Macaca fascicularis: one gene and its partners. The protein of the gene in region 3 binds, or shares a complex with, the protein of the main gene of each other region. Links are inferred from orthologs where the notes say so. Each region holds a gene or a part of one and is shown on either strand. Other genes may lie near its edges.

Evidence for each region.
Region 1: the proteins of SFN (region 3) and SOS1 are in contact, whole or in part, in a crystal structure (PDB 6Y44), measured with the Homo sapiens proteins. The link is inferred for Macaca fascicularis from reciprocal best matches to the Homo sapiens genes SFN and SOS1. Residues at the interface, in NP_006133.1 of Homo sapiens: Glu14, Asn42, Ser45, Val46, Lys49, Arg56, Phe119, Lys122, Arg129, Tyr130, Pro167, Ile168, Gly171, Leu174, Asn175, Val178, Glu182, Leu218, Ile219, Leu222, Asp225, Asn226, Leu229, Trp230; in NP_005624.2 of Homo sapiens: Arg1158, Pro1159, Glu1160, Ser1161, Ala1162, Pro1163, Ala1164, Glu1165, Ser1166.
Region 2: the proteins of SFN (region 3) and AMOT are in contact, whole or in part, in a crystal structure (PDB 7NPB), measured with the Homo sapiens proteins. The link is inferred for Macaca fascicularis from reciprocal best matches to the Homo sapiens genes SFN and AMOT. Residues at the interface, in NP_006133.1 of Homo sapiens: Val46, Lys49, Asn50, Arg56, Arg60, Lys122, Arg129, Tyr130, Gly171, Leu174, Asn175, Val178, Tyr181, Glu182, Asp215, Leu222, Asp225, Asn226, Leu229, Trp230; in NP_001106962.1 of Homo sapiens: Val171, Arg172, Ser173, Leu174, Ser175, Glu176, Arg177, Leu178, Met179.
Region 4: the proteins of SFN (region 3) and MLXIPL are in contact, whole or in part, in a crystal structure (PDB 8BTQ), measured with the Homo sapiens proteins. The link is inferred for Macaca fascicularis from reciprocal best matches to the Homo sapiens genes SFN and MLXIPL. Residues at the interface, in NP_006133.1 of Homo sapiens: Gly53, Arg56, Ala57, Arg60, Gln67, Arg129, Val178, Tyr181, Glu182, Lys214, Thr217, Leu218, Gln221, Leu222, Arg224, Asp225, Asn226, Leu229, Trp230; in NP_116569.1 of Homo sapiens: Arg117, Ile120, Arg121, Asn124, Trp127, Arg128, Ala129, Trp130, Tyr131, Ile132, Tyr134.
Region 5: the proteins of SFN (region 3) and LRRK2 are in contact, whole or in part, in a crystal structure (PDB 5MYC), measured with the Homo sapiens proteins. The link is inferred for Macaca fascicularis from reciprocal best matches to the Homo sapiens genes SFN and LRRK2. Residues at the interface, in NP_006133.1 of Homo sapiens: Lys11, Glu14, Glu39, Asn42, Leu43, Ser45, Val46, Lys49, Asn50, Arg56, Arg60, Phe119, Lys122, Arg129, Tyr130, Pro167, Ile168, Gly171, Leu174, Asn175, Val178, Tyr181, Glu182, Asp215, Leu218, Ile219, Leu222, Asp225, Asn226, Leu229; in NP_940980.4 of Homo sapiens: Lys907, Ser908, Asn909, Ser910, Ile911, Ser912, Val913, Gly914, Glu915, Phe916, Tyr917, Arg918.
Region 6: the proteins of SFN (region 3) and GBP1 are in contact, whole or in part, in a cryo-EM structure (PDB 8Q4L), measured with the Homo sapiens proteins. The link is inferred for Macaca fascicularis from reciprocal best matches to the Homo sapiens genes SFN and GBP1. Residues at the interface, in NP_006133.1 of Homo sapiens: Glu14, Gln15, Ala16, Glu17; in NP_002044.2 of Homo sapiens: Lys210, Gly211, Thr212, Ser213.
Region 7: the proteins of SFN (region 3) and RND3 are in contact, whole or in part, in a crystal structure (PDB 7OBC), measured with the Homo sapiens proteins. The link is inferred for Macaca fascicularis from reciprocal best matches to the Homo sapiens genes SFN and RND3. Residues at the interface, in NP_006133.1 of Homo sapiens: Lys49, Arg56, Arg60, Lys122, Asp126, Arg129, Tyr130, Glu133, Gly171, Leu174, Asn175, Val178, Glu182, Ile219, Leu222, Asp225, Asn226, Leu229, Trp230; in NP_001241667.1 of Homo sapiens: Asp236, Lys237, Ala238, Lys239, Ser240, Cys241.

Annotation. Positions count from the first base shown.
Region 1 is NC_088387.1:83,155,260-83,159,366, forward strand, and holds part of SOS1 (son of sevenless homolog 1), read left to right. Parts: intron 1-251; coding exon 252-333; intron 334-1,104; coding exon 1,105-1,227; intron 1,228-1,530; coding exon 1,531-1,634; intron 1,635-2,752; coding exon 2,753-2,975; intron 2,976-4,107.
Region 2 is NC_088395.1:119,286,700-119,290,806, forward strand, and holds part of AMOT (angiomotin), read right to left. Parts: intron 3,959-4,107; coding exon 3,726-3,958; intron 2,595-3,725; coding exon 1,842-2,594; intron 1,514-1,841; coding exon 1,416-1,513; 3' UTR 1-1,415.
Region 3 is NC_088375.1:208,247,445-208,251,013, forward strand, and holds SFN (14-3-3 protein sigma), read right to left. Parts: upstream 2,010-3,569; 5' UTR 1,946-2,009; coding exon 1,199-1,945; 3' UTR 715-1,198; downstream 1-714. UniProt on the Homo sapiens protein: Adapter protein implicated in the regulation of a large spectrum of both general and specialized signaling pathways. Binds to a large number of partners, usually by recognition of a phosphoserine or phosphothreonine motif.
Region 4 is NC_088377.1:52,470,920-52,475,026, reverse strand, and holds part of MLXIPL (carbohydrate-responsive element-binding protein), read left to right. Parts: intron 1-338; coding exon 339-421; intron 422-589; coding exon 590-679; exon of another isoform or gene 680-909; intron 910-988; coding exon 989-1,033; intron 1,034-1,887; coding exon 1,888-2,089; intron 2,090-2,231; coding exon 2,232-2,312; intron 2,313-2,462; coding exon 2,463-2,546; intron 2,547-4,107. UniProt on the Homo sapiens protein: Binds DNA as a heterodimer with MLX/TCFL4 and activates transcription. Binds to the canonical E box sequence 5'-CACGTG-3'. Plays a role in transcriptional activation of glycolytic target genes. Involved in glucose-responsive gene regulation.
Region 5 is NC_088385.1:46,793,532-46,797,638, reverse strand, and holds part of LRRK2 (leucine-rich repeat serine/threonine-protein kinase 2), read right to left. Parts: intron 1,668-4,107; coding exon 1,466-1,667; intron 427-1,465; coding exon 338-426; intron 1-337. UniProt on the Homo sapiens protein: Serine/threonine-protein kinase which phosphorylates a broad range of proteins involved in multiple processes such as neuronal plasticity, innate immunity, autophagy, and vesicle trafficking.
Region 6 is NC_088375.1:145,612,855-145,616,961, reverse strand, and holds part of GBP1 (guanylate-binding protein 1), read right to left. Parts: intron 3,555-4,107; 5' UTR 3,536-3,554; coding exon 3,346-3,535; intron 263-3,345; coding exon 135-262; intron 1-134.
Region 7 is NC_088386.1:46,018,210-46,022,070, forward strand, and holds the end of RND3 (rho-related GTP-binding protein RhoE), read right to left. Parts: intron 2,924-3,861; coding exon 2,672-2,923; 3' UTR 864-2,671; downstream 1-863. UniProt on the Homo sapiens protein: Binds GTP but lacks intrinsic GTPase activity and is resistant to Rho-specific GTPase-activating proteins.

The DNA of each region.
Region 1 (4,107 bases), on a different chromosome or scaffold from region 3:
GATGAGTTTAAGATCATCTTGTCAGTGTGCAGAGGGCAAGAAATAAGTTGATGTAAAGTTTTAATATCAATGTTTTCACCACTAATTTAGGAGGCACTAAGCTAGCAGTGCATTACCAAGCCCAGTCTGTTTGTCAAAACATTTTGGAACTTTTAAACTTGACTATTTGATCTATTTTGAAAATGTAAATAATAGTTTTAATCATTTTGAATCACAGAGTTTAATAAGATATTTTTCCTTTTTCTTCTTAGATCCCAATTTTGTTCGGACATTTCTTACAACATACAGATCCTTTTGCAAACCTCAAGAACTACTGAGTCTTATAATAGAAAGGTCTGTCCATTTAAAAAATATTTAAATTCATTATTTTTTGTTAAAAAAGAGATTAAGCTAAGATCTTATGTTTTTCAGAAATGTTAGATGAGCTTTAAAATATACTTCACGAGCACTTTTTCAATAAATAAAATCTCTTAAATGAACATTTATTTTGTTAGCTTTTATTATTTCAATACAAAAATTATTTTTTGTATGTGAAAACTCGGTATTTGAAATTTCAAATTTACAGAACGATCTATATAAAATTTATAATTTAGAGTTGAGAAATTCAAATTTTGATGAGTTAGATGTTCTAAGTAAGTTTTCAAACATACTTCATGTTGAGTAAAATGGAGCTTGTCAGTGAACAAATACTGTGATGGAAGGAAAATATTTCATGTACCCAAACAAAGAGCAGTCAGTTTTTCTGGAATTACCCTTAACAGTGATTATGTCACCTGATTTAGAGTAATTCCACAGACCAAAAATGAATATCAGTCCCATAACTTTATAGTCACATTTATTTTTAGAATTTGCATGTATTCTTTATTCTGTTTGTAGTTAGTTTTATCTATATTGGCAAGTACTAATTTATTTTAAAATTTTAAAAATAATTTTATTAACCTTTAATATTATAGAAGTCTCACTTATTTACACTGACATGCATATTTTTAGTAATTTTTTACAGTATTCTCTTGATTTTGCTGACAGGTGGAAACATTTGTGGTTTTCTATTTGTATAACTCGATATAATTAGTATTTTCATTAATTTGTTCTATTTTATGTTAGGTTTGAAATTCCAGAGCCTGAGCCAACAGAAGCTGATCGCATAGCTATAGAGAATGGAGATCAACCCTTGAGTGCAGAACTGAAAAGATTTAGAAAAGAATATATACAGCCTGTGCAACTGCGGTAAGCATTAAATAAATGAAGCAAATAAGTCTTTATCAAACTTTCATTTTAGTGTTGAAGTATATAAGGACCTTTCCCAAACAAGGAGCGGGGTGACAATAAAATTAATAAATTAAATTTACTAATTAGAGCAGTTATCAGAAATTATAGTGTAAGTCTTAATGTAGAATTTTGGAAGTGTTAGGCACCCTGATAAGAATAACTTGGTAAGAGTTACCGTGTTTTCATTTGTATTGTACCATGCATTGTGATAAACATTTATGTTTGATTCCCATGTAATTCAATTCTGTGTTAATGCTGTAGAGTATTAAATGTATGTCGGCACTGGGTAGAGCACCACTTCTATGATTTTGAAAGAGATGCATATCTTTTGCAACGAATGGAAGAATTTATTGGAACAGTAAGAGGTATGTTTTTTTTTTTAGGTGCTTAGTTTTATATGTAATAAAAGTACCAACACGGTGACTATCAATTGATGTTATTGTGGTTCAGTAATACGAGATGTTTGTAATAGTACCAGCATAACCATTTGAAAAAGTTAAAAATTTTCATCAAACAACATTTAGACCTGCAAATTGCTCAACAGTCACCCTGTTGATCCAATGTATTTTCATTTACTGAATCAACTTACTGATTATTTTAAGAGTTGGTTAAGCCAAGTCTTCATACATATCCCAAAGTATGAGGGCGTTTGGGAATTACGTTGTGCCATTATAACACCACTGATGGAGGTCGAGTGGGCCACAGGTGAATAGAGAGAATCAGAGAGGAAGCAGAGTGGATTAAATTGAGAGTTTGTGTCTAACACTACCACTGATCAGATATGTGACTTTGGGCAAAATCACTTAGATTCTTTAGACTTCAGTTTTCTTATCAATAACATGAGGAGCTAGGTTTGTTGATCTCCAAGGTTTTCCTTCTAGTTTTAAAGATTATATGAGTGTATAGCTCTAAGGATGTCTTAGACAAACTTATTTTTATTTCCTTTGTATGCTCTAAATGATAATCAGAAAATAGTTAAATAATAGTACTTTAAATGTACAATACAAAACAGAGCCACATCAAAACTCACACTAAAAATGAAGGAATCAGTCCTCTGGCACTGATATTTATTGATTTATAAAATGCAATGTGAATTAGATTAATAGTGTGTATAATCTATCCTTATAAATCTTGTGATTTACATAAGATATACCTTTTGGAGGATTATAAAATAATACATTAAACTGAAGATCAGAACAATGGGGTGGACAGTCTCTACAAATTAAGTACTTTCTAATTTTATTTGGAAAGGATCTGGAAGAACACGTGCCAGGCTACTAACAGTGGTTACCCATGTGGAGAAGAGTAGTAAGATTAGGATGGGGGCCGGGAAATGGAAAAAGGGAACTTGTATTTTTCATTTTGATCATTTGAACTTTTTATAGCAAAGATACGTTCAGGTATCATCTGTGTGATTTTAAACCATTTTAAAAATATTAAATAAAGAATATTTAAATGTTATTTAAAATATAATGTATTGCAGGTAAAGCAATGAAAAAATGGGTTGAATCCATCACTAAAATAATCCAAAGGAAAAAAATTGCAAGAGACAATGGACCAGGTCATAATATTACATTTCAGAGTTCACCTCCCACAGTTGAGTGGCATATAAGCAGACCTGGGCACATAGAGACTTTCGACCTGCTCACCTTACACCCAATAGAAATTGCTCGACAACTCACTTTACTTGAATCAGATCTATACCGGTATGTACTTTAACATTCAAGCTGAAAAATCATTTCAAAAGAGTGAATTTTTAAAATGAAATACTGATTTCTGCCTTACAGGGTTGTCCTAAGACTTAACTGAAATCGTACATGAAGTGTCTAGTAATGAGGCCAGGCAGGCACTTCCTGTTCTTTCACTCCCTTGGTCCCTCCAGCTGAATTTACACCTTCTGTCTTTCTGTGGTCACCCCTAGTTGGTAAGGCTAGGTTCAAATCCTGGCTTTACTAATTGCTGACCCTGGGCAACTTTAACCTCCTTGTGTAACTTTATCCTTCTGCCCCTTATTTTCCTCAAGAGTAAAATGGGGCTACTGATAGTACGTACTCCTGGGGCTGTTTTGAGGTTTGAAAGTCAATATATGTACATTACCTAGCACAAAGTAAGGGCTCAATAAATGTTGGCTACTGCTTTATTGTGAACTTATAGCCATTATAGTCTTTTTTAGTTTATCATACTACATTGATATAATTATCTCAAAAATGTCCTTCTGATTTTAAATGGGGACTATTTAGAATCTTAAACTAAATTATTCATTTTTTAATAGCTAAATGAGAAAATGAGCTAAATTTATAGATCTCCCACTAAAAATCATATTTCTGAAAATTACAGTATTAGAATCTATTTTGTTTATTTCCTAGGACCCTTTTGTGGTAGGTTTTTTTCCTCTCCTCCTTTAGACCAAAAAAAAAAAGATGTAGGAATTGCATTGATTACTGTACCCTCTTTGAACTGATTTATAACAGATATCATTACTTAAATGTCTACTTTGTCACCCTAATTTATTAATAATGTTTATAAATGCTGGAAAAGATATTATGGAGGAGTTTCAACCTTGCCCAAAGCAAAATGCTACTATAAAGCAACACTAAAAGTACACAGGTATTTCCATAAAAATAGTTTTTAAAAACAGTTTTTAAAGGCCGGGCGTTGTGGCTCACTCTTGTAATCCCAGCACTTTGGGAGGCCAAGGCAGGTGGATCACCCAAGGTCAGGAGTTCGAGACCAGCCTGGCCAACATGGTGAAACCTTTTGTCTACTAAAAATACAAAAAATTAGCCAGGCTTAGTGACGGGCACCTGTAATCCCAGCTACCCGAGAGGCTCAGGCAGG
Region 2 (4,107 bases), on a different chromosome or scaffold from region 3:
TTCCCTCACCCTCCCTATACCCCTTAAAACTGATCTTAATGATGCTATCTGCAGATTTGTCACCTTAATGAAGGGCAGACAGGTGACACAGGGCAGGGACCTGTGGCAACTGGCATCCTTCTGTGTTCTTGGAGGCAGCCCTATGGCAAGGCTTGGAACCATTGCCTCCTTTGATCTCTACCCACATGCACATTTCCCGCTGCTTCCCAAAGGTATTCCAAGATGGAGTCACTGACAGTGAGAAGAGGTAGTTGAGGATACTGCTGCAATCCACCTCTCCCCCGACTGCAGCATAGTACTTTGGGTTTCTCATGTTATTCCCTTGGAGATGATAGTCAAAAATGCCTTTTAAGACATATGCTTAGAATTTGACACACAAAACAAGTTATTTCAAAGTAGTCACCAGAAATTCAAAGCATTCAACCTGTCAACAAAGATCCTTCCTCACTTTGCAAATGATTGGCAATTTGAGACTGGAGCCCCAGCCAGTGAATCTGTGCTGTAGAAGAAATAAACACTAAGCTGATTGGTCTTAATAAATGCAAGCAAGCTATGTTCATGGCTACACACAGACCATGAAAGTCTGCATATAGCACCTCACGCAAGTCTCCATCAAGGCCTCTGATGGTCTAACTCCCTAAGAGAGAGGAAGTTGTGCATCACTCAGTTAATGTACTCTCCCAGCATCTGAAAGCAATATATTAATTATCCAAATGCATAAATTATTCCAGAGCATATATATGAATGTATGAACCTCCAGGAGGGAACCAAAAGAATCCGTTTCCAAAGCACCACTGAAATGAAGACAAACACAATTCCCTGGGGCAGGGTAGATGGGAAATTGGAAGAAAAAATTAGCTCCAGCACCCTTCTGCACCCCAAAACTCCCTACCTTTTTTCCAGCTTACATAGCTCCTGAAACTATTCCCTTTTATAAGCCTGAGGTGAGAGCTTTCTCCGGCTGCTGCACAGGATAGTAACTATACAAGACAGCACACACTCAATTCTCTCCAGCTTCCCACTTCCAAACTACGTATTACACACTGTCTTCCACACATACTGTGCTCTTCAGTTAAAAATGATCTAGAATATGGAAATTTTAAACAAATTTAAGCACATTGAAAACACTGATGTATGCCCACCCGTTAACAGTCCCAGTATTTGTATAAATTCAAACAATAAGCTTTAGAGCACATTCTGATTAATCTGTCTTTAGAGGTACTCCCTAAGCATACCAGAATAGACTGGTGGTTCACATGGTATTACTCAAGTAGTACATTGTTCCAACAAAAAGTCCTGTTAAAAAACATCCCCTCCCCCCAACCCTTGTCCTCACCCCCAAAACAAGAACCAATAAAAGGGGGAAATGATTAAAAGCATTTTTGCTGAGAATCTGCAGCTCTTGAATTGGCCGTTTAGATGAGATATTCCACCATCTCTGCATCAGGCTCTTGTCCCAGGATCTGAATGGGAGTTTTTCTTTCCAGAGTATTGGAGTGGAACACAGGCCCATCTAAATGGAAATAAGGGTTAGAAAACACTTAGGGATGAAGAAAAAACCTGTATTTCTAGAACTAGACACCATCAGAGCCCTCATGAAGCCAATGGCAAAGTGAGACTTGTCACCTCCCTCATTTACTTCTGCTAAGATAATGGCCTCCACTCATGCCTGTTCCCATCTTGGTGGATGAGAAGTCATTTACAGACTCTCTTCTCTCTCCCTTAGAACATGAAAAATTCAGTCCAAAGGATAACTCTGCCCAGACATCAGGCAACAAGAAATAAATCTGTATTTGAGAGCAGAACTAAACCAAAAGTTACCTGCTAAAGGGAATAATTACCTGCTTTGTCTGGATTGCAGGTCAAACTTGGTATAGACAAACGATGTGGTCCAGGACCGGTAGCTGGACTTGCAGGAACCTCAGCCTGAGCCACAGCTGGAGTTGGAGTTGGAGCTGGAGTTGGAGCTGCAGCCGTAGCTGAAGTTGGTGCCTGAGTCTGAGCAGGAGCAGAAGCCTGAGCCGCTGCTGAAGCCGGAACTGGAACCAGAGCCGGAGCTGGAACCGGAGCCGGAGCAGCTGGAGCAACCTGAACAGCAGCAGCAGCAGCAGCAGCAGCAGCAGCAGCAGCAGCAGCAGCAGCAGCAGGAGGAGGAGGAGGAGGAGGAGGAGGAGGAGGAGGAGCAACGGCAGCAGCTGAGGCAACAGAGGCAGCAGCTGGAATCTGACCAGCAGCAGCTGGAGAAACAGCAGCAGCAATAGCAGCAGCGGTGGCTGGAGACGGGGCAGCAGCAACAGCAGCAGCAGCAGCTGGAGCAGCAGCAACAGCAACTGGAGTAGCAGCTACCATGGTGGTGGTGATAGTGGCAGCAGTGGCGGTGATGGCGGCAGCAGTGGCGGCGGCAGCAACTGGAGCAGCAACAGAGATGGGAGCAACAGTTGCAGTTTTGTTCGATTCCGTCCCACGTTCAGTTTGGGTACTGCAGTCTCGGCTGCCTGTCTTGGAGTGAGCCGAGGGCAGGGGAGTCGAGGGGGGCACAGGCGAGGGTGTGGAAGGGACATATTCAGCACGGTAGTCTCCACCCAAGAGAATGCCTACAAATGAAAGGGGAACAGACATTAGAAAAAAATAGGTGATTCAAATCCAGACATCTAATTACCTGTTCTCCCATTCAAATTTCAGAAGAAATTTGAATGTGTCTAAATTATTTATTTTTGCCTCCAGGGAACCCAGAAATCAGTGTGTGAGGCTCCTCCAACCATGGCTAAAAGTTTCTTACAGACTTCGAAGATCCCTCTGGTCCTCATCCATCACCTGGCACAACATATTAAGCCTGTAAGTGACCTGGGTATCTGTTTTGATTTATTTTTCCAATGGTGATTGGGTTCCACCAAGTTGTCAGAATGCTCCTACTCGGCTCCACTTATAAACCATTACCACACATTACCAGGGAGCAAGAAAGGATTTGGAGAATAAGTCTATTGACACAGATTAAGTGTGGTAATAATTGTGTGATCTAAGGTTCTCACCATGACCATAGTCTCCAAAATGCTTATTCTAACCAAAAGATATTATAAGTATCAGAGGACCAAGAAAGGAATTAAAAGCAACAAAAAGGGTTAAAATAAAAATACATATAAGCTTCCTTCCTCAGGCTCTAAAAATGTGCCCGTGGTATCCACAATATGTCTGGGGTTTTGATTAGAGGGGAGGGAATGGACAGGAATGGAATGAAAAAGTACATTCTGTTCTCATCTCAGAACACTGTGGGAACAAAACCTGCTACCCAAACGATTTAGCGTAACTAAAACTCTGGGTTCTCCTATTATACAGGAGGAAGGAACACAGAAATGCTGGAATTTTGAAATTCTGAATGACAAAAAGGCCACATGGGTTCTGGAGAAAGATAAAGGTGCCACATGGCAAAGGTCAAATGTGAGAATATTTTAGAGGAAATTAGAGTTACCTTCCTTCACACCCAAATGAAACTCAAGATTCTTGTCCTCTAGGCTTTGGCCTCAATCAGTATTCTCACCAGGAGACTTCAAAGTGTGGAGGAGCTCCAGAATGTGGAACTAGGGTCTCAGGAGGAATATGAACCCAAAACCCTGGTACACCTTCCTCTCCAGAACCTGGACCATCATCCCTTTTCCTTAAGCATGGGTGCTTGTCTCATGGCTCTCTTTGAACACATGACTATAATCTTCCTTATTTACTGTCATTACCTAGGCTCCCCTTCCAGCTCTTGTCATCTCGCTTTTCTTCCATGATGGGGGTGCCAGTCAGGGTGGATGAGTGGGAGAGCAAGCCTGATCCAGCATTGGAAATGGACATCAGAGACTTCGCTGGCCGCATGCACGACAGCTGCTCTGTCTTGCTCGGCTCCTTCCGGGAACGCTGTTGGAGTACTTTGATCATGGCATCCTTCTCAATAATCTGGGCATGTAGGGTCTTAATCCTAGGAACCAAAGACAAAGAACATATAAAGACCTTGTTGCGGCCAGGAGCGGTAGCTCATACCTGTAATCCTAGCACTTTGGGAGGCCAAGGCGGGTGGATCACAAAGTCAGGAGTTCAAGACCAGCCTGACCAACATGGTGAAACCCT
Region 3 (3,569 bases):
CTCCCTCCTGTGATTGGGTGGCAGAGCCTCGGGCCCCGCCTCCAGTCCTGGCTGTGAAGGCGAGACCGAGCAATGCGGCCGCAGGTTCCGGCGTGTTGCTGGCTGCAGAGAGCGGAGGCGGCTGGCTCGGCAGGCAATGCTCCCAGCGGCCATTCCCACCCAGCTCGTCCTTCCTCCCCACCAGCCCGTTTCCTTTTGTCTCCATTTCCGAACTCTTTGGGACGTGACCCTCTCCTAAGATCTGGGCTTTTATGGCGGCACTGCACCCCTGCCTCAAATCGTACTTCCCTCCGCTGAGATCTGAGCCCTTGATGAGACTGTGACCCGCCTGTAAATCGGGTGCTCAGTGCCGCTCACTACTGCAGCGCTGTCCTTAGATCTCATGCCGGAGACTTCACTATTTCCTGTCCCGCTCCACCTGAGCTCGTCAGCCTCCCGCGCTGCGGCTCCCACTCACCTCCCCTCGGCCCTGCAGAGGAGGCTCGGCGCCTCCTGTGGGTTCACCTGACCCTCCCGGTCCCATCCAGTTTGACTGGGGCCGCCCTGATGGAGACAGCCGGACCCCGGCCTCACCTGGACTCAAAGTCTTGCGTGCAGGTCACTGAGCCACCCAGGGAGGTCAGGGCCCTAACTCAGAGGTCGAAAGTCAGGATCTCTAAATCAGATTCCAGTTCCACTCCCAACCCATCGCCAAGAACTGGAAAGAGACAGGAGGAGTGTCACAGGGGAACTTTATTGAGAGGAAACATGGTCACACCCAGCAGACATGCTTTCCTTCAATGTCGGTCTTGCACTGGCGCGCGCGCGCACACACACACACACCCATCTCCGGCCCCTGCCACTGTCCAGTTCTCAGCCACAAGGCGGGACATTCCTCAATTCCTACGACCAGAGGCAGCAGGGGCAGGAGTGAGGCAAGAGGGAGGGGAGAAGTAGCCTGGTCCTGGGGTCGGGAGGAAGCGGTGCGGAGAGCAGGGCTGGGGTCATGACCAGTGGTTAGGTGCGCTCAACAGCTGCAAGAAGAGTGGGATCCCCAGCCCCAGGTGGCCTCAGCTCTGCCAGTCCCTCTCCACGGAGCCGTTTGGAGTAAGAACAGCGCCTGGGGGAGAAGGGTGGGGCCTCCCACCCCATATTAGTCCTCTCGGCAGGGTGGGGGACTGAAGGGGGCAGGGCAGGGTGGGGCGGTGGTGGGCAACACTCAGCTCTGGGGCTCCTGGGGAGCCTCGCCCCCCTCTTCCCCGGCGTTGTCGGCCGTCCACAGCGTCAGGTTGTCTCGCAGCAGCTGCATGATGAGGGTGCTGTCTTTGTAGGAGTCCTCGCTGAGGGTGTGCAGATCAGCCATGGCCTCATCGAAAGTGGTCTTGGCCAGCGAGATGGCCTCCTCGGGGCTGTTGGCGATCTCGTAGTGGAAGACGGAAAAGTTCAGGGCCAGGCCCAGGCGGATGGGATTGGTGGGCGGCATCTCCTTCTTGCTGATGTCCATGGCCTCCTGGTAGGCTGACCGGGCTGAGTCGATGATGCGCTTCTTGTCGTCACCAGTGGCCACCTCGGCCAAGTAGCGGTAGTAGTCGCCCTTCATCTTCAGGTAGAAGACCCTGCTCTCCGCGTCCCCAGCCTCCTTGATGAGATGGCTGTCCAGCAGGCCCAGCACGGTGTCGCACACGCCCCGGAGCTCAGTCTCCACCTTCTCCCGGTACTCACGCACCTCGGGGCCCTTCTCCTCCGAGCCCTCCTCATTGCTTTTCTGCTCAATACTGGACAGGACCCTCCAGGCAGCCCTCTGGCCGCCCACCACATTCTTGTAGGCTACTGAGAGCAGGTTTCGCTCTTCGCAGGAGAGCTCCTCACCTTTCTCCACGGCGCCCTTCATGAAGGCTGCCATGTCCTCATAACGTTCGGCCTGCTCTGCCAGCTTGGCCTTCTGGATCAGACTGGCTCTCTCCATGGCTCTGGGGACACACAGGCGGGCGGCGGGCTAACTGCTGCCTGGGACCAATGCCGGACTCTGTGCCTCTCCTGCTCTTGGCCTGCCTTTTGGCTGGGTGGCCAGGCCCAGAGAAGGGTGGGGAGGAGCAGGGGGCGGGACCAGGGCCCAAGACCTGCCTCCCTCTCCTCTCCTCCCCACACCCTTTCCGGCTCTGCAGTCAAGGTAAAAAGGCTGGGATGTGGGGGTGAGTCATCAGAACAGTCAGCAGAAGAAATCTGGGCGTGGGCCCCACCTGCACAGGCACCTTTCCAGGCTCTAGGCTGCCCCCTCTTGTTCGGGGCTGGCATCATATGGCTGCTCACATCAGGAAACTGCCTGGCTTCTCAAATCAGATCCTCCTTCACAGCGTCCTTACAGAGGCTAAGGGCGGCTTTAGCCCCTGGCTGCTTCTGCCTCGACAGAGCCCATAAAGGTTCAGGAGGATGGGGTTCCCAATCCTGCCAGGTAACTTCTCCCCTTGATTCAGGTGAGGATAACTTATGTTTAGGTAGGGCCATAGAGTTTCCCAAGCACTTTCATATTCACCATCGAATTTAATCCCCACTGTGTCTCTGTGACACACACAGGACCACAGAGATGGGAACACTAAGTCTCAGAGAGGGGTGAGATTTGCTCAAAGTCACATAGCCACCACTTCCCTGAAACTCCTTTCTGCACCCTGCTTCCTTTAGCTTTTCTCCCGTTGAAGTCTCTGACCTATGAGCTCCAGGCTGTGTTTGGAAGTGAGATCCAGGCTCTTTCTCAATCTACCTGAAGATGGTTCCATCCCTCAGGCCTCACTCCCCCTCAGGGTCCCCTCTGAGCTCCCAGAATGCGCAGGTGGCAGCTTTCAGAGTGCCACTTAATGAAGTGTTTAACAAGCAGCCTCTGACGCTCCAGCCCAGCCTTTGTAATTAGTCACCCAGTAGGTTTGTTGGACACATTTCCCATCACTACACAATTTTCCCTTTCAAGTTGGTGGCCTGTTGCCACTTGTTTGAGGATTTACCCTCTGGCCCTCCACACCAGGTCACTTGCCCTCTCCAAGCCACATGCCATCAGGTACCAGTGGGGTTCACAGAGGGTGGGGTCCAGCTCCCCGGCTGTCCCACTTTCCTGCCTGACTCAGACTGCTCTCTGTCTGAGGCTGGGAAGCAGTCCAGTTTGATCCCCCAGGGGGGACGCTAGCAACCTGGGGAGAGAGAGGACTGAGAAAGGGAGGTGGCAGTGACACATACCATTCTGTTTTATGGGGCAGCAATCCCAGCTACTCCCCCAGCCTGTCTCTCAGAAGTTTCCCTGTTCCTTCCTTTTTTTTTTTTTTAAATAGAGACAGGATCTCACTACATTGCCCAGGCAGGTCTCAAACTCCTGGGCTCAAGCAATTCTCCTGCCTCAGCCTCCCAAACTGCTGGGATTATGGGCATGAGCCACTTCCTTCCTTTTGACCATTACCCCACCTCTGACCCCTGGCAGAGTCCTCAGATGGAGACCTCTGTTGCCAACCTTCTTTCCCTGCTTGCTGGGGCCCTGGCCTCAAGTTTCATCAGGAGTTTCACCAAAGGGTGTTGGCATTGAGCCTACAGGGATGGATTCCTGCTTA
Region 4 (4,107 bases), on a different chromosome or scaffold from region 3:
GTGGGTGCCTGTAGTCCCAGCTACTCAGGAGGCTGAGGCAGGAGAATCGCTTGAACCCGGGAGGCGGAGGTTGCAGTGAGCCGAGATCGCGCCACTGCACTCCAGCGTGGGCAACAAGAGTGAAACTCCATCTCAAAAAAAAAAAAACAAAAAAAGATCTAGGAGGTTATCGCATCCGCATCCTCCGAAAAGACTTCCTGGAGGAGGCAGCATGGGCACTTAATCTGAACGTCCAAGGCCAAGCAGGATTTCGTAGGGTGTCACTTGAGTCCCAGTCCCCTGGGATGAGGTGGGGGATGAGGAAGCTGGGTGCCCCTAACCTGGCCCCCTTCTCTCAGATGTGGAGCGGAGGAAGAGCCCCGTGTGTGGCTTCGTGACCCCCCTGCAGGGGCCTGAGGCTGATGCGCACCGGAAGCCGGAGGTAGCTGGGTTCTGGACCGCCTGCCCACCTGCTCGCCTGCCCACCCACAAGACCAGCCCCTACCTCCTGTAGCCTTGCGCTGGGCAGACAGGGATGGGGTGAGGGGTGGGAGATGGGTGTGCGGTGCTCCCCTCCCTACTGATCCCCCTCCCCCGGCCCCCACCCCAGGCCGTGGTCCTGGAGGGGAACTACTGGAAGCGGCGCATCGAGGTGGTGATGCGGGAATACCACAAGTGGCGCATCTACTACAAGAAGCGGGTCAGTGGCAGGGCCCAGGGAGGCCCCAGAGCTTTCACCTGCGGCTGCCGGCTACTGCCCGCCTTGGAAGATCCCCGGAAAGGGGATCCTGACCCCCCAGCTTGCGCCCCTCGGGCCCTCCATTCAGTCCCGAGCCGACAGCGCCACCGTGTGGCCACAGGGCCTCCTAACAGCCTCCTTACCTGGGGTTCGGGGGAGCTCCTAATGGGAAATGGGGGATCTCACTGCTTGTGAGTAGGGGAGACTTTTGGGGGGAAGTGATGGAGGGTGGGCAAGGGATCCGGTGTCCAGCTCTGTGTGTCCCTGCAGCTCCGTAAGTCCAGCAGGGAAGAGGACCTCCTGGCCCCTAAGCAGGTGGGTGCTCTGTAAGTCCAGCAGGGAAGCCCATCTCTTCGCCCCCCAAGTAGGAGGCAGAGAGTTGAAAGCTTCCGCCTGCGTGAGCAGGACAGTGGCTGGGCGTGAGGGTGGGATGTGGGACGTGACTGCCGTCCTGTGGTTCATTTGTTGAGCTCTTTTCTTTTTGGGGGATGGGGGTGCGGTGGTGAGAAGACCCCAGGTCATTGAGCAAGTGGTGGGAGGTATGGGAGAACAGACGGACCAGGCCGGGCGCGGTGACTCATGTCTGTCATCCCGGCACTTTGGGAGGCCGAGGCGGGTGGATCACCTGAGGTCAGGAGTTCGAGACCAGCCTGGCCAACATGGTGAAACCCCATCTCCACTAAAAAAACAAAAATTAGCCGGGCATGGTGGCGCATGTCTGCAATCTCAGCTACTCGGGAGGCTGAGGCAGGAGAATCATTTGAACCTGGGAGGTGGAGTTTGCAGTGAGCTGAGATCACGCCACTGCACTCCAGCCTGGGCAACAGAGACTCCGTCTCAAAAAAAAAAAAAAGAAAAAGAAAAAGAAAACAAACAAAAACAAAACAGAGGGACCAAAGAACTGGGGTCCCAGACAGGAAAAAATCTAAAGGGCAGGAGGGGGACTCCTGTATCTGCATCCTGGTCTGTCTCCTGGGGGAAGTTCTTAGAGGCCAATGGAGTGATCCTGGCCTTTCAAGCAGCTAGCCAGGACCGCTAGGGAAAGGTGACAGAGGTGTGCACAGACAGACCCTCTGTCCTGCTGACCCCTTGACCCTGGAGAGGGGTGATATGGAAGTTCGGGGGCAGTGGGAGCTCTTCAGCGGCTGCTGACGGCTCTGTCTCCCTAGGCGGAAGGCGGGTGGCCGCCGCCGGAGCAATGGTGCAAACAGCTCTTCTCCAGTGTGGTCCCCGTGCTGCTGGGGGACCCAGAGGAGGAGCCGGGTGGGCGGCAGCTCCTGGACCTCAATTGCTTTTTGTCCGACATCTCGGACACTCTCTTCACCATGACTCAGTCTGGCCCTTCGCCCCTGCAGCTGCCGCCTGAGGATGGTGAGGGTTTGAGAAGGGGCAGGGGAGAGGGGTGAAGGCCTGTGAGATTCCAGGAGGCCAAGGGAGGGATGGCTGGGGATGGGGTTGGAGACCCCCACTCCTCCCTGCCTGCTACTGCTGATGTCACCACTGCTGCCTCTAGCCTACGTCGGCAATGCTGACATGATCCAGCCGGACCTGACGCCACTGCAGCCAAGCCTGGATGACTTCATGGACATCTCAGGTGGGGCGAGCCCCTCCCCAGGTAGGGTGGACGGGCAGGGTCCCTGTGAGAAAGGCCAATGAGCCTATCCCAGGCCCCTCTGGGGGAGCAGATAGTCTGGGTGATTTCTTTTTTTTTTTTTTTGAGATGGTGTCTGACTCTATCACCCAGGTTGGAGTGCAGTGATGCTAACCTCTTGCCTCCCAGACTCAAGTGATCCTCCCACCTCAGCCCCCCGAGTAGCTGGGACTACAGGTGTGCACCACCACACCCGACTAATTTTTTTTTTTTTTTTTTTTTTTTTTTTGGATTTTTGGTAGAGATGGGGTTTCACCGTGTTGCCCAGGCTGGTCCCAAACTCCGGAGTTCAAGTCATCCCCTTGCCTTGGCCTCCCAAAGTGCTGGGATTACAGGCATGAGCCACCGTGCCTGGAAGGTCTGGGTGGTTTCTGAGGGATCTTCCTGGTCTCCTTTTGTACAGCTGGTGTGGCCTCCAGTGAGGGCAGGGCCCAAGACAGTACCTGGCCAGGGAACCAGGGGCTCCCAAGAAAGCAGTGAATGCTGGGACCCTCTCAGGGGAGAGAAGAACTTTGAGTTATTCGGGTCTATTTATTTTTCACACAATGCATTTTAAAACTATTTGCTAGGCCGGGTGTGGTGGCTCACACCGGTAATCCCAGCACTTTGGGAGGCCGAGGCGGGCAGATCACGAGGTCAGGAGATCAAGACCATCCTGGCTAACATGGTGAAACCCCGTCTCTACTAAAATACAAAAAAAATTAGCCAGGTGTGGTGGTGGGCGCCTGTAGTCCCAGCTACCAGGGAGGCTAAGGCAGAAGAATGGCATGAATCTGGGAGGCAGAGCTTGCAGTGAGCCAAGATCATGCCACTCTAGTCTGGGCAACAGAGCAAGACTCCATCTCAAAAAAACAATAAAAAATAAAAATAAAAAATAAAACTATTTACTAGAGGACATTTCAACCATGCACACACTAGTAGAGAAAGTAGTTCAGCAAAAAAACTCCCAAGTCACCATCACTGATGTCATCGACTTATCAACTCTTGGCCAGTCATCTTCTTTTATTTTTCTCTTTTCTTTTTTTGAGAAGGAGTCTCACTCTGTTGCCCAGGCTGGAGTGCAGTGGCACAATCACAGCTCACTGCAGCCTCAACCTCCCAGGCTCAAGTGATCCTCCCACCTCAGCCTCCCGAGTAGCTGAGACCACAGGCACGCAGCCCTATGCCTGGCTATTTTTTTTATTTATTTTTTGAAGAGACAGGGCCCCCCTGTATTGTCCAGGCTGGTCTAGAACTCCTGGGCTCAAGAGATCCTCCCACCTCAGCTTCCCAAAGTGCTGGGATTACAGGTGTGTGCCACTATGCCCAGTGTGTTATTTTAAAGAAAATCTCAGGCATCATATCTTGTAAAGCTTTTTTTTTTTTTTCTTTTGAGACAGAGTCTTACTCTGTCACCCAGGCTGGAGTGTAATGGCTCCATCTTGGCTCACTGCAACCTCTGCCTCCCAGGTTCAAGCGATTCTTGTGCCTCAGCCTCCCGAGTAGCTGGGATTACAGGCTCATGCCACCATGCCCAGCAAATTTTTGTATTTTTAGTAGAGAGGGGGTTTTGCCATGTTAGCCAGGCTGGTCTTGAACACCTGACCTCAAGTGATCCTCCCATCTCAGCCTCCCAAAGTGCTGGGATTATGGGTGTGAGCCACCATGCCTGGCCTAAAGCAATTTTTATAAGTCGTGAGTGTCCCTGTCTCCCTCTCCTGACCCCAGGGCCACCAAGTTACTGATTCTTCAGTGTCCT
Region 5 (4,107 bases), on a different chromosome or scaffold from region 3:
GTTTACCCCAAGGATTTCCACAAAGCCTTCGTTCAATTGACTAATTCAGTAACCAAATCGATGACATCATCAGGATCTAGTAAAGCAGCATGGGACAGAGTGTTACAAACATCTGTATGTGGCTGGAAAACCAAGTCATGGAAGTGAACTCAAGACATCTTTCCTTCTTCCATGAAGTTCTTCAAGTAGTCTTCTATGTGAAATGTTCCACAGTCTTCTAAATTCACAAAAGTTTCTGCCTTAACTAAACCCAAACTCTAAAATGCTCAATGCTCTGGGCGCCATCTGTTCTATGCTTTGACCATAACCCCGTGCCACAAAAATAAAAGACACCAACCTGTGCCATGATTTTACAAAGCCACTTGGGTTCCACAAAATACAAGTCACTTAACTGCAGTGCTGGGTCTTGAAAATGAAGAAGGACTCCTGTAGTAAAAATTCATCAAACAGTGAAACATGGAATGTAGAACAACTATCAAGGGGCTTTAGAAAGAATCTAGTCCAACTTCCTCATTTTACAGGTAAAGAAATTTCAGCATACCTAGTGGCAGAGCTGGGACTAGAAGCTGTGCATCCTATGGTCTAAAGTCCCAATATTATAATGGAGTATTTTTAAACTACATAAAACAATCATATATAAACATATTTGAGACACTGACATGCATTACAAAGCATATTTCATGCATACATAGAAATTCATAATTTTCTGTTTTGCTTGCTGAATAAACACTACAAAGACATGTTTTATTTTCAAATACAGATAAGAAACACAGCATATTTCAGCATACCTTAAGAACAATGGGGAAAAGGAACAGATCATAAACCACAGGAAGCTATTTTTCACACAACAGAATCTAGGGATCAAAAGCAGCTTCCCAGTCACTTACTCTAGTACTATCAAACAACTCACACATTTCTGGCAAAGTAATATGATCAAGTACACAATTAGCACTGAAGTTGGTTTGAGAATTTTCATCTTTGAGACCAATATTTGATGAAAGAGAGCTAGATCTTCCACTCAGCAGCTGCATCATCTCAGGGAGCCATTGATTCTCAAAGCGTCCCAGTTAGACCATTCCAACAATAATTCCCCTTTGCAATATAAAAATAAGTTTCACATGCACTAAACTCATTTGACATTATGGAAGGATATGGTTGTGCTTGGGGTTCCACAGCTCCTGAATAGTACAAGTAAGTTCTAGAACCCAAATATTTTAACTCCCACTCAGGGAATCTTTCCACTACTTTACTCCTAGGTGATTTCTAAATTTGTTTTCTTACAACATGATACATGATTTATCATCCACACACATGATGATCCTCCAAAAAGAAAAAAATCAGTGCCCTATTAAAGAACTGTATGGATATTCTCTCAGCTTTGAATGTAAATTCTATACAAGATTCAGAAACACTTTTATAAGTTATTACAGCTGAGCTTTGAAAGTAAGGAAAGAAACACACAAACCTGATTCATTTAGAAAGTGAACTGCGTGAGGAAGCTCATTTTCATCTAACTGCAACTGATTTTCTCTCACTAGTTGTAATAATCGTTTCTGGTCAATTACAGGAAATTCAATTGGCACATTTTTACGCTCCGATAAAATGATTTTCTCAAGTTCTACATAGCAGTCTGGAATCAGCTGTCCAACAACAGGCTGATCTCGGATCTATGAAATTACAAATGACAAGCCGTAAAAATCTATTTTATTCGTGTATGTGTCAAATGGTTGGCAAATTCAGTGCTAACAGTTTTTACAGAAACAGATATGTTATTCAGAAGTACATTTTTAAATAAAATCAAAATATAATAAAAAGCTATTTAGATTGTAAGGAATAAGTACAATGAAATTAAAATAGGAAAACTGTTGATCCAGAGGCAAATTAGGAAATATCAAATAAAATGGTATGGAAATGTTTATCTTGCTACACAGAAATTCCATGGCAAAAATCAAGATAAATCACTAACCATAAGAAAGATTTTTTATATCTTAAGACATTAAACTTAATGTGAAACAGACACGCTAGCATAAGATATCAGTACAAATTACAAGAGCTTTTGGATATTATATTTTAAATATTCAAGGTAAAACATTAAATTTTGTGCTTGTTATTTGTAAAATGTTATATTGATGGGATGCATATATCAACAGTGAAACCTGGAGACATAAGATCCCACTCAAGCTATGTTGTTCATGGAGTATTTGGGAAAATGAGAAATCATCTAAACACCAGTGATTCTGCTAGGAGAGGATGATCATTGTTCTGTTGCTTTTAGAATCTAATCACTGTCTACAAAATGAGAAATGCATAAAAGAAGATTTTTTAAAGAATGGGCTTAAGAGGATAGTTTCTATAATAAAAGTATCTTCCAAACATTTTTTAAAATATAATTTTAAATAGAAAAGCAACTCTTAATAACATCCGCAATGCCTTTAAGAACCACCAGATGGCAAACTCTCCCTATTTCTGGGCCTATGGAAATTACATATTCTTTTCACCTGAAAATAAGAAACAGCATTTCTGCTTAAATTCTTACACTTACTACAAACAGAAATTCAGCACACAGAGACAAAAAATTAACTTGGTCTTTTTCATTTGTGACTAAAACCTTAAGGAGACAACCATAACCATTACTTCTGTATTTACCTGTAAATGGTTACTCAAGAGACTGTTTTCGTGTATCTTTTGACCCAGAGAATTGGAGATAATTTCACTAATCTCCACTTTTCATGTTCCCTCTCAGAGTTGTTCATAAATTAAGATGAAATGGAACTTCAGATTGAGGTTTATGTTTTAATCCAAGGAGGGAAACCTCCATATAAAAGTAAACAAGAGTTCTCAAAGAAAGCAAATCAAGTAGAAACGGGATGAGTTTTAGGGGACTAGGTCTCAAAGCCTAAAGGGATGCCTGCTCTGCTAATGGGCTGAACAAGATTAAAAGGAGTATTGTCGGCATTCAACTCTGTATTGTCCTGCTTCTCCTTTCAGCATGATAATCAGTTCACTGACAGGCTGAGTCAAAAAAATAAAACTTAAAGTGTCTGCACAGACACATGTTAATAAGGTTGAGACAGAAAAAGATTAGAGAAGAGCTAAGATCAAAGGGAAAGATGAAAAATAAATGAGAGGACAAAAAAAGATCTCTAATAGATTAAAAGCTGCTCTTTGAATTCAGGTTGAAGCACCTCAGGGAAGAAAGAATTTTCAAGTTCTGGCAGGCCCACAGGCCCTGGGTCCTCCGAAAGAGTCACTCTTCTACAAAGCAATCAAATGAGTTTTCAAACCATTATGCCAGAATGCTGCATCCATTAGCAATATATACTTTTCTTTCACTAATACTGGTATTTCTCAAAGCATTTGTTTTACTTCCTTGTAAAAAGTTGTCTTCAAAGTTGATTTACAAGTGCCAAAAGGAAATCTGGTCTGATTTATTGGTAATGATATCTATTAGACAAAAGCAGTATTAATACAGCTTAATGAGCCATCTTATCTGTGACTTTGCATCAACTAAATTCAGGCCTTTTCAAAACAAACTCGTCCTCCAACAAGTCTTTTTAAAGATATGATACATTATCTGACAGCAATGACGAAAAGGGAAATTATCAAAATATTCTCAGTAACAACAAAGTTTTTGAAGTATGGGTATAGTCTCAGAAAAAAAAAAAAAAAACCTCGATTAAGAGATTAACTGGATGAATAAATTTTGTGTATTTGTTTTTCTTTAAGTCATATTACTTTCTAATTACATGTCCAACAAGAGAATAGGAAAATCTACAAATAAATAATGTCATTTTTACATGACATTACTGTCTATCATCAATAAAACCTTTTAATAACTATAATAAATGTGTGCTGAAGGACACGAACATACAAATTCTCTCCCCGGACACCGCAAAATCCATCACTTTTACAAATGGCTCATTAGGTTTTGCAGAGAAGCACACATAATCTATATAAATGGATTATGTAAGCTAACTGGCCAACGCGGAGTTATAACCAAGGTGACTATATAATTTATCATCCAAATTGGAATGCTTTTGAGAATATAGTGGGACACTATTAATAATTACGCTGGTACTGCCCAGGCGAAATAGGACTCTATTTATC
Region 6 (4,107 bases), about 63 Mb from region 3:
TTGTGCTCCCTTTATGCATCTGTGTTAAACCCCACATATTACAGCCTATAGTTAATGGTTAATAAACAATTAAATGGTGCATAAAATATTCAGAGAAGAGGGGCTCACTCCACAATTGGATCCTTGAGTCTCACCTTCTCTACATCTCCCAGACCCTCGGTGTCCAGCAGAACTAGGACGTGGCCTGGCTTCTTGGGATGGGGCACACACCACATCCAGATTCCTTTAGTGTGAGACTGCACTGTGGAGCCCAGAGAGAAGCCTGCAAGGGAGAGAGGAGACCAGAGATGAAGATCTAGTAACAGGCAGTTCTGGCAATTGAAGGAAAAGGTAACATATTTAAGGTTAAGAGAGAGAACCGAAACAACAATCACTATTCACCTTACTTACTTACAATCAAAGAAATAGGAAATTCGAATATCTAATGCATGGAAAAATTCAGGAGACTTTCATGATAAAAATAATCAACAAAGTAAAAATAGAAAGTACCTCAACATAATAAAGGCCATATATTAAAAATCCACAGCTCACTTCATATTTAATGGTGAAGCATCATAGCTTTTCCTATATCAGGAACAAGAAAGGGTGCCTACTTTTGTTAATTGTGTTCCACAGAACACTGCAAGTCCTATCCAGAGTAATTATACAAGAAAAGCATAAAGGAGGTACCCTAATTGGTAATGAAAAAGTAAAATTATCTCTGCTGATGATAATATGTAATTTGTAGAAAACATTAAATATTCCACAGAAAAAGATTAGAACTCTTAAAACAATTCACCAAAGTTGTAGCATACAAAGTCAATGTGGAGAAATCAGTTGCTAGTGTAAAAAATAGAATTAGAAAGGAAATTCTAATTTCCTTTCCAAACAAAAAGAAAAGGAAATTTTGAAAACAATCCCATTTAACAGCATTGAAAGAATACACTACCTAGGAATAAGTTTAACCAAGCAGGTGAAAGACTTGTAGAGTGAAAACTTCAAACATCCTTTAAAGAAATTATAGGTGACATAACTTATTAGAAAGACATCCTGTGTTTATGGATTGGAAGACTCAATATTCTTAAGATGTCACTACTACCCAAAGTGATGTGCAGGTTTGATGTAATCCCTACCAACATTCCAATTACTTTGTATAAATAGAAAATCCATCCTAACTTTCATATGAAATTTCCAGAGATCCCCTAATGATGAAAATAATCTTAAAAAGGAAGAGCAAAGTTAGAGTCTCACAGTTTCTGAGTTCTGAAACATATTACAAAACCATGTATGGTACCTGTATAAAGACTGACATATAAACCAATGGAATAGAAAAGACAGCCCATGAATAAACTCTGACACATATGGTCGATGATTTCCAGTACCAGTGTCAAGATCATTTAATGAAGAAAGGAGAGTCTCCTTAACAAATGATGTTGAGGAAATGAGATATCTCCTTAAAAAGTTGAGCTGTTGGCCGGGCACAGTTTCTCATGCCTGTAATCCTAGCACTTTGGGAGACTGAGGTGGGCGGATCACGAGGTCTGGAGATCGAGACCATCCTGGCTAACAAGGTGAAACCCCGTCTGTACTAAAAATACAAAAAATTAGCTGGGCATGGTGGCTGGCGCTTGTAGTCCCAGCTACTCGGGACGCTGAGGCAGGAGAATGGCGTGAACCTGGGAGGTGGAGCTTGCAGTGAGCCGAGATCATGCCACTGCACTCCTGCCTGGGCAACAGAGCAAGACTCTGTCTCAAAAAAAACAAAAAACAAAAAACAAAAAGTTGGGCTGTTACCTTATAACTTACAAATATGAACTCAAAATGCATCAAATAACTGAACATTAGAGTTAACATTATAAAAGTTGTAGAAGAAAACAAAGGGTAAAAGTTTTACATATTGGATTTGGTGATTTTTTTTTTAATAAGAAACCAAAACTATAGACAATAAAGGAAAACATAGATTAGTGGGACTTCAGCAAAATTTAAAACTTTTGTGTATTAACGGACACTACGGACAGAGTTAAAAAAGGCATCACATAGAATGTAAGAAAAGATTTGCTAAACATGTATATGATAAGGGATTGATATCTAGAAAATATAAAAAAATTTACAAAGCAACGCAAATAAAAACCAGATTAATAAATGAACAAAGGACTTGAATAGACATTCTCCCAAAGAAGATATTCAAGTTACCAATAAGCGCATGAAAATATGCTCAATATCACTAGTCATTAGGGAAATGAAAATCAAAACCACAACGAGATACTACTTAACATCCATTCATATGGGCACTATCAAAAAAAAAAAAAACACTGAAAATAAAAAATGTTGGTGAGGATGCAGAGAAATTAGAACCCTTGTACATTTCTGTTGGGAATGTAAAACAGTATAGTAATTGTGGAAAATGGTATAGTGATTTCTTAAAAAAAAAAAAGTTAACATGGAATGACTGCATGAGCCAGCAATTCCCCTTCCGGATATATTCCTAAAGGAAGTGATAGCAGGGACTTGAACAGATATTCAGACACCCATGTTCCTATTAGCCTTATTTATAACAGACAAAGGTGGAAGCAATCCAAGTGGCCATTGACAGATGAAGAGATAAACAAATTAGTATACACGTACAATTACTAAGCCTTAGAAAGGAAGAGTTTTGACATGTGCTAACACACTGATGAACCTTGAAGACATATGAATTGAAATAAGCCAGTCATAAAAGGACAAATATTGAATGATTCCACTTATATGAGGTTTCTGTAGTAGTCAAATTCATAGAGATAGAATGTAGAATGATGGCAAGCAATGGGTTTATGTGGAGCTTTTGTTTAATTAGTACAGAGTTTCTGTTAGGCAAGATGAAAGAGTTCTGGATATGGATGGAGGTGACAGTTGTATAATAGTGTGAATGTCATTAATGCCACAGAGCTGTACACTTAAAAATGGTTATGAGGCTAAATTTTATGTTTATTTTTTACAACAATAGAAAAGAATATCCAATACAGACTGAAACATTTTTTCAACCTTAAAGATCACTGTAAACTCTCTGATATTGCATAAAAATTATAATAAACATTGTATAGTTTATTATAGTTATTTTTCTGTACACTAATTATTTTTATTACCGTCTTACTCCTTTCAGGAAAGGCATTATTTGTGCTTTTGAAAGGGAAACTAAGGTATCATGGAATAATTAATGAATTGAATCTTATCCCCTGGAATAGCATGAAGATAAGGAGCCCGACTGTGAATGGAAAGTTAGCTTTCAGTAATCATCCTCATCTCTTTCTCTCCTCACACCCTTGTAATGGATGCTGACTGTGTAGATGGACAGAAGGGACTTGGCAGATCTTTGCTCATGCCACTCACCCTTTTTCTTTCCAGCCAGCTTGTTCATCAGGTAGGATTTCCCTGTGCGATAGAGGCCCACAATCGCCACCACCACCACAGGCTGTGTAATGGCAGACAGGATCTTCAGAGCTTCTGGATTCGCCATCAGTCGCCCATTAGTGTTCTCAATGAGGCACATTGGGCCTGTCATGTGGATCTCTGATGCCATGTCCAGGGTGTTCCCTTGTCTGCAAGAGAGGAGGTGAAATAAATGAAAATTTCTAGTGTTTTGCAACTATAAGGGATAATCATAAGATTTCCCAGTATGGCCAAAAGTTTTGTGTGTGACAGCGAGAGAGATGAGGCAAAATCTGTATCATTTGAGAAAGTTATGGAAGTATAGTCAAAGTAACTCATTACAAAAAATGTTAGCATGACAGTGACTTATCAACACTCAACTACTCTCACAACCCAAATATTTCATTTAATTTATTGTAGAAAACTTTCTTTTTGGATTCTTATTAAATATTTTCACTAGTCAATTAATGGAAGATAGAATAGGATTTAGAGGATTTATTTTGCATCCTAGCTATTTGTAAGGAATTCAATATTGATTTACTTATTAATTCTTACAGTGAATAGACATCCAACACAGTGAATCAGTGTTCATAGTTTGATGTTTACCCTTAGAATAATTTTCAAAGATTTTTAAATGTGTTCCTTCCTCCATCTTCAACTGGTTATGCTTATTTCACTGCAATGAGGATTGACAAAGCTTCTCACAGTGCCATTCTGGAAGTG
Region 7 (3,861 bases), on a different chromosome or scaffold from region 3:
CTGCTTCCCCCTTTGCTTCTGAGAATTATTTCCAAGCAAATAACTGTACCTCCAAGATTCCCAAAGCCACTCAGAAAAAAAGAAGCCACAAGGATGCATTTTTTTAATATGATGTGGCTTAGCTGTGTAGAAAGAAGCACTGTTTTAAAAAATCCCACATAGAGTATCTTTGGACACTTATGTAAAACTTAATAAGTATTTTAGCTGAAGACTGAGAATCAACTGGATTTATGGGGAGAGAGTCCTCTATTTTACGGTAAGTTCTATGCTTACTGTACATCTCCCAGGTCATTGGGAAACTTGTATTATGTTGTACTATGTTATTTAAAGATGCTACTACCATATGCAAGACAATTTCTGTTTTGCTTTTTTTAATCCTTCCAATTGTTGCAAAAGCTGTGTGCTGGGTCATCCCCACAACCGCTGTGAACAAGGACATGGACATGCCTTGCGAGGTGGCATGAGTTAAAGACCAAGGCTCAGAACCCCACAGGGCAGAGAGGCAAACTAGGCTCGTATTAGCATTAAACCTGTGACTTGAGACTGCATCATATTGCTTCATTCTTAAATACTTGAAGACTTCCGTATTTTCTACAAGTTAATCTTAGGCAGTATCAGGGCTCTTTTTCGTATATGATCAAATCACTTAATCTAATTATGCCCCATTTTTTTTTCTTGTGATTTGAAAGCATCATGAAAACCTTTTATATATGCAGGTTTATCTGTTACTACTATGAAGAATTAAAAAATTCCAAAGCCTTCTCATTTAGAAAATGTTAGGCATTTTGATTCTGTAATCACCTATGTTAAAGAACAAAGCTAAACAGCGAAATCAGGAAGCAGGTAATAGAAGACAGATCACATTTAGACAAAGACATGGTTACTTTTTTATTTGAAGAAAAAAAAAGTATGTTTTAATAAATACTGCAGAAACATTGACCAAATAAACATACAAAGTGACTTCAACAGTTTAAAAAATGCAACAAAAGTTCTGCTTTATAACAGTTATAACTTATTTTCTTTTTACAATATTTAAATACAGAAAGCACTCGCCAGCTATTTTGTAATACTGCCCAAAGCATAATGCTGCATCAATCAAAGCATATTATGTTGGTAGAATGTCTGTATTTTATGGGAAATGACTGGAATCGTATTTTCTTGCAGAGACAAAACAAAGTGCTTGTAAGACATAGAACTGAGTGTTGTAATTACCTTAATCTCTCCTGCCACAATTTAAGGGGAGCACAGCTTCAACACTTCAAAAACGAAGCATTATCATGGGAAAGAAAGCTCGTTTTCAACAAGCGCCAACAATAAACAGGTCAGATCTGGTTTCTTCTCTGAAATAATCTCTAAAATGAACTGGTCAAAAATATCTGTAAACTATTTTAAATGCTTTTATTTTACGTAACAACAGCGACCAAGTGCTGAACATGGACCTTGGCTGCGTCTGCTCAGTGAGGTTTTAGCAATCACGCTCTAGAAATGCCCTGGTGTTGTGTCAGGACTGAAACTCTATTATATAATCTTCCACTAGGGATTCTCTAAAGCTTGGGTAAGTGAATTCTTCTCTCATCAATGTTCATTTAATGAAAGTGAAATAAACCAACAGATCATCAGATGCTGCCAGTTTTGGAGCTCCAACCCAAAATAATAGTCCTTTTGCTTTGTATTTTTGGTAACTTAATTCCAGACAGCTTTACTCACAAACTGTGCTTTCCGCTACTATTCTTTCCTTCACTCATTACCTCTTCTGGTGAAAACAGTAACTACCTTTTTTCTCTCCTTGGATCATTCTATGACGTCAAACCAAGACACCTTTTATTTGACTTTGCATTTTTATCAACGATGGCAAAAAAATCACACAACTTCTTTTCTAAACAGCGCACAAAAATATTACATTGAGCAATTTACCACTTTTTAATGACAATCACAATGAAGAACAGAACCATCAGACTGAATAAAAATCGACACTTTTTTTTCCTATTTGATCTATGCGATCTTTGTAGTGCTGGTCTACAAATCTTGCAAGATTGCAAAGGCTTTCCTTAGAACCATCCTACTCAGCTATCTTCAGGAAGGCAAGATTTCAACGCCTCATAAAGTTTTCCTCTGGATATATCCCCATGGGTCCTGATACAATTTCCATTTTAATGATGAGCTAGAAAGAAATTAGATCACATCCTCTAGAAAACTAAATGCTAAAGTCACAGTGCCAGTTCCCCAGTGAGGACGGTATATTAACATATACTTTTTGTAAAGGAGAGTAAAACATTTAAAAATTAAATCAAAGTAGAGATCCATGAATAGATTGTAACAAAAACAAACAAAAAAAAAACCCAACAAAAATGCAAGCACCATTCAGAGTGTGATTTTTCTTCTTGGAGGTACTCGCATCCCCCCTCATCTTCCTCTAGCTCATTTGTATCTCCATTTTTTGGCATATTTTTCAAGTCACACTTCAAAACTCTTCCACGTATTCAATTCTCACCACTTGGTCTACATGCCGAATCTAAGGACAGGATTCCAAAAAGATGAGTATCCTCTCAAACGCCTCCGAAGCCTCTGGTATACATGACTTTAGCTGTGCACTTCATTTAGACTTCACCTTTTTGTTTGCTGTTGTTTTTTACACTAGATTCCTTTGTCCTCATTAAAGATAATGAAAGATTCACATCACAGTGCAGCTCTTCGCTTTGTCCTTTCGTAAGTCCGTAGCAACTGCCGAGAGTTCTGGTCTGCTAGGCATGTGTGAAATCCGTTTTGTGGCTCTCTGTGATTTGTTCCGCTTAACGTTTTTATTTGTCTTATTTACACATGCCAAGGTGGCAACGTGAAAAATGTCTCTGACACTATTTTCCGACTGTAAAGCTGAGCATTCGATATAAGTAGCTGCTCCAATCTGTTTGGCCATATTTGCCCCCTGAGAAGCAAAAGAAGGGATTTTAATCAGCAATAAGACTTTGGGAGAAAGTTAGCTAGTGTCTTCTAATACCACAAAATAATAATGCATTGCAAAACGTTTACTGATATGTTAACTGAATTTTCCAAGTGTCACTGCAAAAATAAAAGTTGTTAAAATTTGAACTGCCTTATTTATTACTTCATAAATATTGGCAGTCAAGAGCCAATCGCTAAGATGTCCAACTCTCATGGCTCATTAGAGGTGTTAGAGCTCTGAATAAATGCTAAAGGCTGATCTTAACAAATGAGGACATTCATTATCAAACACTTAATATGAGGTGATTCAAAGAGGTGTAGAGTGGAGCTAACGAGGTGATTCATCTTCACTATCAACTGCAAGCAAGAGTTAACTGGTTACTCAGGCTTTCCAGGGTCACAGCAAGCATGGAATGGCCCAGAGAATCTTACTGGTGAAGTAAGTTAGCTGAAGGTCATGAACATAAACTCCACATTTTCCACACAGCTCTGGCTGTGGCGATGTGGCTTTGAGAACCTGTTCCAGCGTCTCCTGGGGGACTCCATTTCTCTTTTCTTGAGGGTAAATGGCATTCAAGACTAGTGACTAGGTTGTACCGAAAACGAGGGTAATGAATGAAATTTAAAATTGATTTTGAAATGTACGTGATTGTGTCTTACTTAGGGCCAAAATAAGTTGAGGAAAGGAATAATACTATTGTGACATCTGTTATATCAAACACAAAATACGTAATTTCTAAGTGTGAACCATACCACCAATATACGCAACAATAAACATGTGCACATCAACCAAAACTACTTATTTAAAATACCAAATTTTTGCTAATGAGAAATGGAAGACTAAGAAGACTGCAGTATTTAAAATGATGATTCTTAATACAATTTTGGTATTTCAACATGAACTCTCTTTAGATTCTGGTT